Linked DNA regions of Mus musculus: all the other regions are reported to be linked to region 4. The links are microRNA targets in miRTarBase. Many come from high-throughput screens and were not tested one by one. Region 4 holds a microRNA gene; each other region holds the end of a gene's coding sequence.

What was found. The annotated mature microRNA mmu-miR-1199-5p reads UCUGAGUCCCGGUCGCGCGG and lies in region 4 at 1,598-1,617, shown strand. An mRNA with a match to its seed (bases 2 to 7 or 8) in the 3' UTR can be bound and repressed. Matches are read on the target gene's strand: a 7mer-m8 pairs with bases 2 to 8, a 7mer-A1 pairs with bases 2 to 7 and ends in A, and an 8mer does both.
Region 1: the mRNA of Supt7l is a reported target of mmu-miR-1199-5p. Seed matches in the 3' UTR shown: 7mer-A1 at 2,000-2,006.
Region 2: miRTarBase lists Osbpl8 as a target of mmu-miR-1199-5p. The part of its 3' UTR that is shown has no 7-base or 8-base seed match.
Region 3: miRTarBase lists Tbl1xr1 as a target of mmu-miR-1199-5p. Seed matches in the 3' UTR shown: 7mer-A1 at 860-866.

What each region holds. Positions count from the first base shown.
Region 1 is chr5:31,512,966-31,516,114 of GRCm38, forward strand. Supt7l (SPT7-like, STAGA complex gamma subunit) reads right to left here. Exons shown (of 5, transcript NM_028150.2): 5 at 1,604-2,961. The coding sequence ends at 2,699. Among named protein-coding and RNA genes, the nearest start is that of Supt7l, 12 kb to the right of the region's middle.
Region 2 is chr10:111,292,637-111,295,785 of GRCm38, reverse strand. It overlaps Osbpl8 (oxysterol binding protein-like 8), which reads right to left. Exons shown (of 24, transcript NM_175489.3): 24 at 1-2,694. The coding sequence ends at 2,562. Among named protein-coding and RNA genes, the nearest start is that of Bbs10, 4.5 kb to the left of the region's middle.
Region 3 is chr3:22,209,741-22,212,889 of GRCm38, reverse strand. Tbl1xr1 (transducin (beta)-like 1X-linked receptor 1) reads right to left here. Exons shown (of 16, transcript NM_030732.3): 16 at 1-2,489. The coding sequence ends at 2,463. Among named protein-coding and RNA genes, the nearest start is that of Tbl1xr1, 130 kb to the right of the region's middle.
Region 4 is chr8:84,010,062-84,013,210 of GRCm38, reverse strand. Mir1199 (microRNA 1199) reads left to right here and starts at 1,578; the gene lies at 1,578-1,696. It overlaps Misp3 (MISP family member 3), which reads left to right and starts at 1,491. Exons shown (of 3, transcript NM_001291292.1): 1 at 1,491-2,070; 2 at 2,439-2,500; 3 at 2,719-2,983. The coding sequence starts at 1,527. The coding sequence ends at 2,733.

The sequences.
Region 1 (3,149 bases), not on the chromosome of region 4:
GCTGCCTCCTCCCTCCACTACACTTCATCCTTTCAGCCTGGTATGCAGCAGTACCTGGACATCCTGAGAGGGAGAAACGGAGGACACATACTACAATATGGAGGTGCTTAATGATTGTTTCCTAAGTGAATTCAGTGTACTAACTGCATCTTGGCCACTTTATGAAAATGAAGATGTGATCTGCCTTATTGGGTTTCTATTTCCGTGTCGAGAGAAACCATGACCACCTCAGCAACTCTTAAAACAGACATGGTGCTGGAGTAGCTGAGAATTCTACATCTTTGTAGCAGGGAAAGAACTGAGACACTAGACCTGGCTTGAGCATATGAGACCTCAAAGCCTGGCCTTCTCCAACAAAACCATGACTACTCTAGCAAGGCCACACCTCCATTCCAGATGAGCCTTGGTCCAGTTTCAAACTACCACAAGATTAAAACAGGATAGATTTAAGAGTGTTAAAGATTAATTTGAGGGGCTGGAGAGATGGCTTAGTGGTTAAGAGCACAGACTGCTCTTCCAGAGGTCCTGAGTTCCAATTCCCAGCAACCACATGGTGGCTCACAACCATCTGTAATGGATCTGCTGTGTCTGAAGACAGCTACAGTGTACTCATATATATAAAATAAATAGGCCTTAAAAAAGATTAATATCAAAAATCCTATTTTAAAATTAAGCTGTAACTTCTTTAGGAGGTAGGACTATAGGTTAGTCTAGAGTACATGATGTGACTGTCTTTGAAAACTGTTAAGTTGTGATGGCAAGATGGTTTGGTGGGTTAAAGGCTCTTGCTATGAAAACCTGACGTCATGCCTTCCACCCCTGGCGCCCATGTAAAGGTTGAACGAGAGAACTGACTGCACACAGCAGTTGTCTCTGGCCTCGCTATACAGGCCACACACACCATGCACGAGCACACACACATATAACAAACCTCAAACACTCTGAGGAGAGCTCACCACAAACCTTGGTTTGTCATGGAGGAAGGGAGCATGGCCATCCTTTGTCATCTCGTGTGCCATCTGAGATAGTTGCTGTGCTCAGCCTGTGCTGAGATAGGTGCTGTGCTTAGCCTTGGCAGCTGATTGCAGTGGGCATCAGTTAACCAGTAACTGGCCAGAGAGCAGAGGACGTGATGGTGAAGGGCTGACAGATCTGTATGGCCCTTACTTTCCACCCCTCCTACAACCAGAGAATGTCAAGTGAGAGGGGTGGAAAGTAAGAACACGAGGATAGGGAGCTGGAAGGGAGATAGAAAGCAGAAAGATGTCCTCCGGATCTGATGCAGCACTCATTAACTGCAGCTGTGCTTATCTGTATGCATCTGTATAAGACCTGTCAAGGTGTCATTGTGAGGAGGGTACCTTTGAGGCGGCGCCCCTCTGAAGGGGTGGTAAGCAGTGGTTGTGAAGGAGAGTGTGAGTGCTGCTGCTAGGTTGTCCTTGCTCAGGAAGTGAGTTCCCTCTCAGCTTGAGGCAACTCTGATGAACCTTGGATCACACACACAAGACATGAAAGGAGGAAGCTGTGCTTGGGGGAAGGGAAAAACTATGCATGCATATGGAATGGTCAAAGAATCTTTAAAAAAGAATTGGAATAACTCAGATGACTTTTTCCAAAAATAATTTATTTTTATGTGTGTGTGTGTGTGTGTGTGTGTGTCATGATGGAGGAGTTGGTTCTCTCCTTACACCATGTGTGTCCCCGGTATCAAACTTAAATTGCAAGTGACTTTACCCACTGACCCATCTCTCTGGATCCTCAAATGTCTTTTTAAACAAAACAACCAAAACAAACACCTGAAACAAACCAACAGCTGTTCTGAAGCAAAGCCAGATGCTGCGTACCCGGCAGCTGTGGTGGGCCCTGTTTGCCACCTTCACAAGGAGAAAAGGTGAAAGCGTGTGCATGGTGAAAGATACTTAAAAGTCTGGGTCAAAAGTCAGGCGTGGGTGGCACATGCCTTTAATCCCAGCACTCGGGAGGCAGAGGCAGGCAGATTTCTGAGTTCAAGGCCAGCCTGGTCTACAAAGTGAGTTCCAGGACAGCCAGGGCTACACAGAGAAACCCTGCCTCGAAAAAAAAAAAAGTCTGGGTCAGCACAAGAGCATATGGAAAGTAAAAATGACGAGGCTGGCTGGAATAATCTAGAAAAGAAAGAACTCTGGGGACAGCTGCATAAGGGTAACAGCTGTCCCCACGGCTCTCACTTTGTAAGAGGCCTGAGTAGCATGAATAGTTTGAACTCTGACTGATGGACTTAAGTTTAGCTGTTACTGTCTGTCTTGCTACTGGGTTCCCAATGACGACACAAAATAGACGAATGAATTGCTGACGTCTATTATAGACGTCATATATTGCATATATTTACATGAATATATGCAAGCTTTGAAATTTAAGCAAAGCACCTCAGTGTCCCACCTCTGCAAGGAGCATCAAAGTGGCATGACTCCTCTCAAGCGTGCCAGAGACACGGCTGAGAGGAGCTGAGATAAAACCAGCCGGGACAGTACTTTGGTCTGATTACCAGGTCAGTATCACAACTCAGCTGCGAACGGTGGCTTAGTTGTTTTAAAGAAGTACAGAAACGACGCAAAGTGAACTGTTACTAGGTTAGGAACTGTCTCTGACATTAGCAAAGGTCTACACTTAAGAATACAGTCTAATTACTACTCATGGGCTTCCTGCTGGCGCTCTGCAGTTAAATCTTCCTCATCCTCTTCCTGCAGCGCTGATTGAACACAGGGGAGGACCCCATGAGGCTGTCAGTGGAGTGGGAACCATAGCTGCTGTCTGAGTCGTCAGGGCTCTGAGGGAGTCCAGCCTCACTCATGCCTGACATTGGCTCCTCAAAGACATCACTGCCCAGCACCCCATGCGCAGACACATTGCCTTCTTCACTTTCTTGAGGTTCCATTTTCACGTGAGCCAGGTTCCAGAGAGGAGAAGCATTGACCTCTGCACCTAGAAATGAAGGGAAGGAGAGATTATGAGCCCACGGGGAGGCAGACACAGAACCTGCACATCTCGCCCTCACACAACTAGCGACCTCCGAGCTGCTTTCATTACAGCACCCCACATGGGATGAGGGTGTCACTGTTAGTCTGGGGTTCAAATGTTACCCCCAAATTACCACTTCCTTTCCACTTTCA
Region 2 (3,149 bases), not on the chromosome of region 4:
TGGTTCTGTAACAAAAAACTAACAAAAATATTTCCTTAAAGGCACAAAAGCATGAAATATTAAATGAGGATTGTATCTCACAAGGCCAACTTTTTAAGGGAATGCAGCTGTCAACTGAGCTGTGACAAAGATGACCACTGCCGCTTTCCAAGTCATACTAGAGACAGAAGTGGTAGGAATTACAAGTTAAATCGATTGCTGCAGCACACTAACACCACACATGCCTGTTATTGTCTTGTCTTAGCCAGCAATATCTCACTAAATGGCAGAAAACTAAAGACATTTAACAACTGTGTCAATAATTGTGGTTATCTAAATTTTTATGTGAGAAAATGAAGTTTTGGATAGATGAAAAACAAAACAAACAAAACTGGTCATAGTCAGAAACCCTAGAAATCACAATGAGTTTTCAGCAAGTTTGGAACAGTTTGTCACATATACATTATGAATCCATTTATGAAGAAAGTTAACCCTTAGATCAGATTGTTCGAGGTCTGTCACACACTGGCTAAACTCAAGTTCAATTATATGTTGTTTAAAGGACTTACATATGAATCCTCCAATTCCTGAGTTTTGTGTTCAGTTCACAGAAAGAAACTCATACAACGAAAAGCATCAGAAAAGCATTTGATTGAACATAAGCTTTTAGTGTATAAGAAACAGTCACCCTGTTCATTAGTTTCTGACTCCTTGGGTAAGGATCCATTAACATAAGCTCTAAAGTGAAATTAAAAAAAAAAACCCAACAATTACCTTTCCAGTCGTGGATATCAACACAAATAAAGCACTGTTCAGATCACAAACAACACAAAGGATTTAGAAAGAGCTCTAAGGCATGTCACCAACAATTTTACATTACAGGGTTTAACAATGAAAAGACTTTTCGTGATCAACCAATCAAGTTATATATAATATAAATTAATAGTAATTTAAAATCATATAAAGATCAAATTGTACAATATTTACAAAATATCACATCAATGAATAGGCAGTTGAGCATAATATTGGTAGTAGAATATGAATACAAACAATATATTGACAAATATGAAATATAACCCAAAACTCCATAATGAAATACTGGATACAGGTACATCTTGCTTATGCTGTTAAAAGTTTAAAATATTTTCATATGAAATACAGCATTGTTTTGCTAACACCACACTGTAAAAGGCTGTTCATAGGAACATAAGGACACCTGTATTCATCAGAAGAGGCTTTCAGTGTGAGCACTGCAGCTGTCCTCTCACAGCAGAGTTAGCTTTCCTTGTAGCTCAATCTCTTCTCAGCTGAAGGCCGATGCAGCCAACAGCAGCTCTTTCTTAGTTGTCACTCAACAAACCCTTCTAAAACCTGTAGTTTGAACAATCTACATTTTATGATGTTTCAAAACTTAACTACCTTTTAAAGAAGTGTTTTTGATAATAATAAATATTTATGTAAAAACACAATTATTAAACTGAATAAATAGGCAAAACCTCTTAGGAACAAATCTGCCTGAGCAGAGCAGAAAGACTTGTACAGAACTGGCTTGCCACAGGATGATGGGAGGAGATGACAAACTTCATAACTTGACATTCTCCAATGCTCAACTTATTGCACATTTAAGCAATTTTATTTTAATGTTTTAAAGGCCACTGCAATCTGTTCTTACCACCTTTTTTGACTTTTGAAGTAAGATATTACATTTTTCTCTTCTATTTACTCCTTGAGTACTCTTGTGTCTAAATGAAAGCTAAAAAGTTTTTCATAAAGAAAACACCGAATCATCAGGATTTCACATAACCTACTTAAACACCTCTGACCGTTCCTTTTCAGCAAGTGCTTAAGTTGGGATTGTAACATATAGATCCATGTAGCTGCTTACCAGTCTTTAATAGTGAGATATATATATATACACACACACATAACTATGTATTCACCTATATCTGTAACATTAAATGCTAGGGGTTAGAAAATCTTGTGTAAACTCTTAAAAATTTTCTACTTGTCCCTTACAATATATTAATTCTGATCACTCACGTATTTTTTCTTGGTGTATCTAAGAAGACTAACTGAACTAGGTAACTTGGAGATGGTTTTAACAGTATAATGTATTGACATTACTCATAATATGTCTATTATCTACCATTTTCCCACTGTAATTCCCTAATGAAAGTTATATGCCGGTCTTCTGAAGACAATAGTTGACCCTAGATGTATTTATAGGAGTGACGGCATCTTTGTTATGAACACTGGTATCAGAATACGTCACAGCACACTGTAGAACACAGGAACTGCTGTCAGGGAAGAGCTCTTTATACACACGTGGGTCTACGATACTCACGTGTAGGCACAGTCTCATACAAGTGTTCTGGCACTTAACACACAGCCCATTGTAGTAACCAAACACAGTAGCTCTTGTTTTGGGTTAAGGATAAAAGATGTGAAAAGTAGGTAGACATTTCTACATTTATCTCCTAGTTTTGTTTGTTGTGATGCTTTAATAAAGAGCAAGCCAATTTGAACAATGGTCCCAGATCACATCTAATCTTTCTTGTTCATGGATTCAATGTTGAGAACTTCTACTTAAATATAAAGTTTATTATGACTTGAAGCAAAATCAGAAGGAAAATGACGAAGTAGTCTTTCTGTTGCAGAAAATAATCTGTAGCAGGTGTACTTGAAAGTAAATGATTTCGAAGAGCCATAATATTTCTGCAAAATAAGCAACAATACATTTTATAATTATTTTTAGAAACATTACCATAAAACATCACGATTATAATGTTATCTGACTGTCACAAGGTATCTAGTTATATTACCTAAAGTAACCAGCTCAGTCAACTACAGCCCTGAGACTGAGAGTGCCAGGCTTCAGGCTAGGATGCTGCAAGTTCACTAAATCAAGCTTATTACTGTATGATTCCATGTCAAACATAGTCATCAGAGTTTAATGATCCAGAAATATTTCTTCTATTTTAATATAGTGTATAAATATAATTTTATATAACAGAAATTACATAAATATAAATAAAATATAATACACATTTATCTTTTCTATTACAAGAGTGGTTTTAAGAAGAACATTTGCTCTTTAGTTGGTTAAGTTTCTTTTATCTTTAATTGTGAGACAAGAGCGGAGTAAAAATTCCAAATTCTTTAAGAAAAAG
Region 3 (3,149 bases), not on the chromosome of region 4:
GACTTTCAGGTTCAGATTCAGTGCAATTGACAAATGCATCGCTGAAGGAAATGCAGCTTAGGCATACTCAAAAAGTTTGTGTCTATTCTTGGGAGCACGTTTAAAAATTATTGCACAGTTTTTTTATTTTTATTATTATTTTTTTAAACAACAACAGAGGCCAACAGATGTGACCCTCTTGCAGTAAAAGCAAAATCTCAAGTGGCAGACACTCAGCATTTTAGAATTCCTACAGAGCCACAGAGCAATGGGTTCTAAATGTCTCAATGTGATAGAACCCTGAAAACACCTGGCACAAACCATAGACGACTGCCTCTCTGGATGCAACTCTTAATATTACAGTATCATAGACCCCACTAACAAAATGGGGTAGATATAACGATGTATGGTAAAATGTAAGTGTATCCATCCTCTTTACCAAAAGCAAATGCCACCCTACCTTAATGAAGCCAAGACTGGCGTCAATCAACGCTGCTTTGTAAAGAACAAGGCAGCAAAAACAGAGCAGCAAAGCTGCGGGGCTGGGTTAGAGCAGTTTCGTAGAACACAGGGTGGGATTCAGGAGCCAAAGGCCTCAAAATAACTACTGACACACATAGTGTTATAAATTTGCTAAGCAATTTCTTAATTAAAAATTTAAAGATATAAATTTGACAACTGTTCTTTCTCTTCAGAACCTACACTCCTGGGTTCTTCCATTAATATCGACTATCCTGTCAACCACCTTCACAAACACAGCCTCTGGTGAACCTTTGTAGGTATATTTTACTTTTAGCTGAACATAAAGAGTCTGATTGAAGCCGGCCGTGGTGGCGCACACCTTTAATCCCAGCCCTCGGGAGGCAGAGGCAGGCGGATTTCTGAGTTCGAGGACAGCCTGGTCTACAAAGTGAGTTCCAGGATAGCCAGAACTATACAGAGAAACCCTGTCTCAAAAAAAAACCAAAAAAAAAGAATCTGATTGGATACCTATATCTTTAAAAAAAAAATACTTGATATAAACAAGAGTAAAAAACATGATATAGTAGTGATTATAGTGGAAACAAAACAGCAGCTTAGATCTACAATGCTTAAGTGCAGCTTTGGCGCCGTATATGCAGGCAGAGGGATAGCTCCAGCCACACCTCTCCTAATTTCCCCATCACTGCTACCCAAACATAGCTCAAAGCAAGCCTTTAAAAACTGTTTTCAAAACTAAGGTAGCAAACATTTAGCCATGTAATGGCAGTGTTATATGCTGCTGTAACCTTGCTTTGTAAAAAGAAAACTAACATGAGAGATTTTTTAATACTGGAATCTGGTTACATTACATATTTAAGCTTCTATACAGAATGATGGACACTTTGAGAAGCTAATCCTTATCCAGAAATATTTTAATCTCTTAAGAAACAAAGTAAAACAGACAAATGGTAAAATAAAAAATAAAAATAATAAAATAAAAGCCCCAAACTATGTTGCTCCTTCTCACAATAGTGCACATTTTTAACCATAATTTAGTTATGGCTACAAAACATCAGAAGATTATTATTTAGAAAAAAAAAAACCAAACTCTTCTTTATGGTATTAAAAAAAAAAAAAAGTTGTGCCCTTCTAGTCTTTAATTGGCAGAAATATGTCCCCAAAAAGAAACTATTTTAAGCGCTCTCTCTCCTCCCCACCCCTCTCTCTCTCTCTCACACACACACACACACACACAAAGAACTAAAACAAAAAACCCAGAAACCCAAAACAAAGATAACATAACACCCTTTGCTGATGTGTCTTAGAGAGTGACATGACGGAAGTCATGTAGTTTCCTATTATTCCAATTCCCTCCATAATATGCACCTATTGAGTTATATGCTCTGGGAGCCATCAGATGTACCAAACATCTACCTCTTCCAAAGAATGCAGTAAAATATTTTTAAGAATTTTTTTGTTGTTTAAAAGGTGAGAAAAAAAAGCAAGATAATGATTCACTCCCTTACTTCATGCATCCATAATCTAAACCAAAACAAACTTGGAAGCAAGAACCAACTACTGCCGCAAGCTTTTGTTAAGTCCATGTTCTCTGTACATACAAACTGCGCACTACTGAGGGGAAAAAGAATATAATCCATGTGTCTGCTGATTCAAAGGGGGAAACAAGGCTGTCATTAATATTCAAAACTGGGACATGTGTGGTTTGCTCTTATAACGCATATTCCTTCTCTTCTGGTTTTCATATCCAAACTTCTAAACGCTACTTAGGGGCACAGCAGGTTAGATCCCAGCACTTGGTGAGCAGAATTCACAAGCTGGGATGAGACTGTCATCTTCAGGGTACAGCTGTGTTCATATATACTGCATGTATATATTTCTCTTAGATTTGGCTGTAGTGGACTGGCCATGGTTCAAGTGGGACTATAGCAGTATATGGGTCAGGGATAGTCTTGTGGCTATGTACACATTCATAGTCGGTCCATGGCTTCCAACTAGTAACGCTATTTCCGAAGGTCTAAGACACAAACCTGTAAGAGATGACAACAGTCAGCCAGTATCAAGAAATCTACCTTACATTGCAAGCTTAACTTCTATAAAGAATACAATGTAATTTACAATCTAAGATGCAAATTCATAAAATCAAAGTAACAAATTATGGAAAGAAACCTTAACTGATGAAGGACATCGGGCCAATATGCTGTGATGTGATCACTACCAAGCTACAGTAACTGAGGAAATGCTGCTCAAAGTTTTAGGTTTAGGTCTTTAAAGTCAGTAAAAGGGGGATGGGGAACATACAGAGCAGACTCAGGTCTGAACACAACACAGGTGTTACGGGGTCATCTCAACAAACAGCTCTGCTTTCCTCTCTCCTGCTTTCCCTGATTTACAACGGGAGAGGCTATACTACCTCCCCCGGCCCCCCAAGTATCTACTAACAACATCCTGAAGGTCAGTATTAAATATCTCCCCACAGAAATCAGCCTCCATTCTTCATCCTCCAACACTCCACTTCAGAGGGGAGAGTTGGGGAAAGGGCTTTAAAAATACCATTTAGCAAGAGATACTTCATTACATTTAATTCCACAAATGGAAGGTTACATTGAAAATCACTCATTACTTGTTTGAGTCTTCTTTGGCAAAGTCACCCCTAAGATTTACTTATACAAATGTAATGAGCATATTTA
Region 4 (3,149 bases):
GTGCTGGGATTAAAGGAGTGTGCCACCACTCTCTTAATCCCATTTAATCTTTCCATTTTCTTTAGGCAATTCTTTCTTCTAGGTTACTATAGAACACAGGGTGGGCCGGTTTTTGTGAAAGCCGGGTTCCACAAGGGCGAGTGGAAATGTCTCTACGAGTGGTTAGCCCTCACTCTGGGTCATCGACCCTGTCCCGAAACACAGATCGGGCACCAGACAAAGGTCGCTACTGCCTCCCGCTAACCCGGTGGCTCCTCTGCCCCATCTTGGGCCTCCTGGGCAAACTGGTCCAAGCTGACCGCCTTCCAGCCACAATTGCTCGGCTGAGGCCCGGAAGTCCTGTAATGTCTGTGCCCTCAAACACCGCTCATTCTAGCTGGACACTTGGCTGCCAATGCCTTGCGGGCTTTTCTGGAAGGTGGGGGTGGGGAATCTGCCCCAGGGTTTTGAGTGGCGGCAGCGCCGCTGCAAACCAGACAGAGCTGAGCAGCCCCGGGTAGCAGCAGCACCCAGTGCGGCGGCCCCGGGCGACCCTCGGGCTGGACTCGAGCTGTGTTGCCTCAGCGATCAGTGTGCAGAGAAGGCCCGGAGATCACGGGATAGGGGGCGGGGGGAAGGAGAGTGGTGTCGCTGGCCGCAGGCTGGCACTTGCTGACCTAGACTAGTGAGGTCAGCGAAAGACGACCGGGGAAACACTCTGTAAGGAGGCCGTGGTTCAGCGATCAGCGCGGCGCTCCGCTAGAGGTCAGGTCTCCGGAAAGTGATGAAAAAAAAAAAAAAAAAAAAAAAAGACCCCAGAATGCCAGCGTGGTACCAGAGGGAAAGGGCGACACATACCCCCTGGGTAGTGAGTTCAGGGAAGCCCTTTCCGAAGAAGCCACCCCTTCAGTCAACCCGTGTGTTCAGGTGGCGGGAATCCGGAGAGCAGTGGAGGCGCCCTGGCCCATAGGGCGGGTCCAGGGCCACTCGAATCCAGCTGGCAGGTGACGGGGGCGGTGCCCAGTCCTGCCCCCAGGGGATGTTCCTGGAGGCCAGAGGCGGGTCAAAGAAGAGTGCTGGCGACGCCTATGAACCTCGGGCGGCGGCTGTAACTACAGGTACTGCACAGGGCACCGTGTCCTACCTATTTGGGCATCTCAATTCGGCTCTGAGAACTAAAATTTTCAAAGGGCGCCTAACTCCAAACATCCATGTCCTCGGGTGTCCGAGAGTGGAGTCCTGGGGTCGCCTGAAGGCTACGTGTTCCGGGAGCCGCAGAGCCAGGGCACCGAGGGCTGCTGGGGGAGGCAGTGAGGTCCTGGAAACCTCTGGAGAGGAGCACTTGCAGACTCTGGAGCCAGAGAGCCAGGTCCCGCAGGTGCCAGTTGAGCACCGGACCGAGCGCCCGGGCGGTCCACAGCTGGGCCGCCTGGCACTAGTATAACGGAGGTACTGGGGCAGTTGTGCCCCTGTCTCGGCTCAGAGGCCTCCAGGTGTGTTTTCTACCGAAGCCCGCGGCATCCAAACCGGCGCCGGCGGAATTGCAGATGGAGACGCCCATCCAGCGCGAAATCCGCCGCAGCTGCGAGCGGGAGGAAAGCCTGCGCCGGAGCCGGGGTCTGAGTCCCGGTCGCGCGGGCGAGGAACTCATTGAGTTGCGCGTGCGGCCGGTGCTCAGTCGGCCCGGCTCCGGTACTCCGCTGCCGCGCGCCCTGGAGCGCGCTCGGGCGGGCGCGAAGATGCAACGGGACATCGAACGCGAGGCTCACAGGCAGGCGGCGCTGGCGAGCCCCGCGGTTCCGGAGCCTAGCGCCCGGCGGCGGCCGCAGCCGCTGGACGAACTCAAGCGCTTCTTTGAGGCTGCGGCGGAGGACGGCGCTGGCTTGCAGAGGCAGCCAGAGACCGGAGGCCGGCTGCACCCCGCCGTTCAGGACGGCTGTCCGGTACTGGGGCAGTTGCCACCGCTCGTTGCCCCGTCACTGCTGGAGCAGGAGGTGCGACGAGTGCGCGAGCGCGAGCGGGAGCTGCAGTTGCAGCGGCGCAGCATCTACGGCGACGCCGAGGTCCAGGAGCCAGCGCCGAGCCTCACCCGTAAGCGGTCCCCCTGGGCCCTAGAGCTCCAGCTGTCTCCACCTCCAGTGATCATTCATCTGTAGGCTTGCAGACCCTTAACTATTCTCCTGGGGGTTCACCTTCTTTTCTTCACTCCCACTCCTGGAGTGAGGATCCCCACATCCATCAGACCTTGGAACCTTGACTTCTGGCGTTCTCGGGTCCTCTGTAGTACTCGGGTGCCTCTCTACATTGAGTTTGCCTCATTCCTGTTCCTGGGTCCTCAGAACTGGGTGGAGGCCTTCATGGGGAAGAGGGGTGCACACCTGTATGTATATAAGGGGTGCGGCCATCCTCCAGCTGGCAAGAGGAGGGGCAGTCGCGGCTGAGTGTTCCTTCCCCCACAGCGAGCAGGGGAGATGGAAAATTGTCGGTGATCTGGCCTCCGCGGAGACGGGCCTCTGAGAAGGTGGGAGACTCCCTTTCCGATGCTTGTCGGTCTCCCAGCCCTCCCTGCAGCACCTGGGCACTGGGGTGGAGGGAGAAGGTGCCTCTTGGTCCCCTGGAGCGCCACTCTAACCCAAACTCAAAAGTCCTAGACGCGATCCAGAGAGTGAAGAGGAGGTGGAGGCCTAGAGGCCAAACTTCTCCCTGAGGGTGTTCTTTCTCTTCCCCTTTTCCTTCTAGGAGCGCAGACCCTGAGGTCTATGAAGGTTGGGACCTGCGGACAGAAGTAACATACCCTTTGGAGAACCAGGGTAGGGTTACTCTCCAGATCAGCAGAAGGCCTAGAGAGGGAAGGGCTAGCTTTCTTTAATGGCAACTTGAAATCCAGCCCATCTTTGATACTGACTATGGAATTAACCACCTTTCTCCATAAAATTCTCTAGTCTTCCTTGGAAACCCTGCAAAACCTATGAGTGAAACATAAAATAAACTCCTCCTCCCTTTACCTGGGCTTCAGTGCAAGCTATTTTCTACTGGGTCCTCCTTAGTCTGGGTGGGCGGAGGCTGGCAGGTGAAGAACGTTTGGAAAAGCCACCCAAGGATCCCGCCGGAATGTTGGAATTCAAAACGCGCTCTGGTCTCCTTGTTCTGGACTGACTGCGGACCCGGGC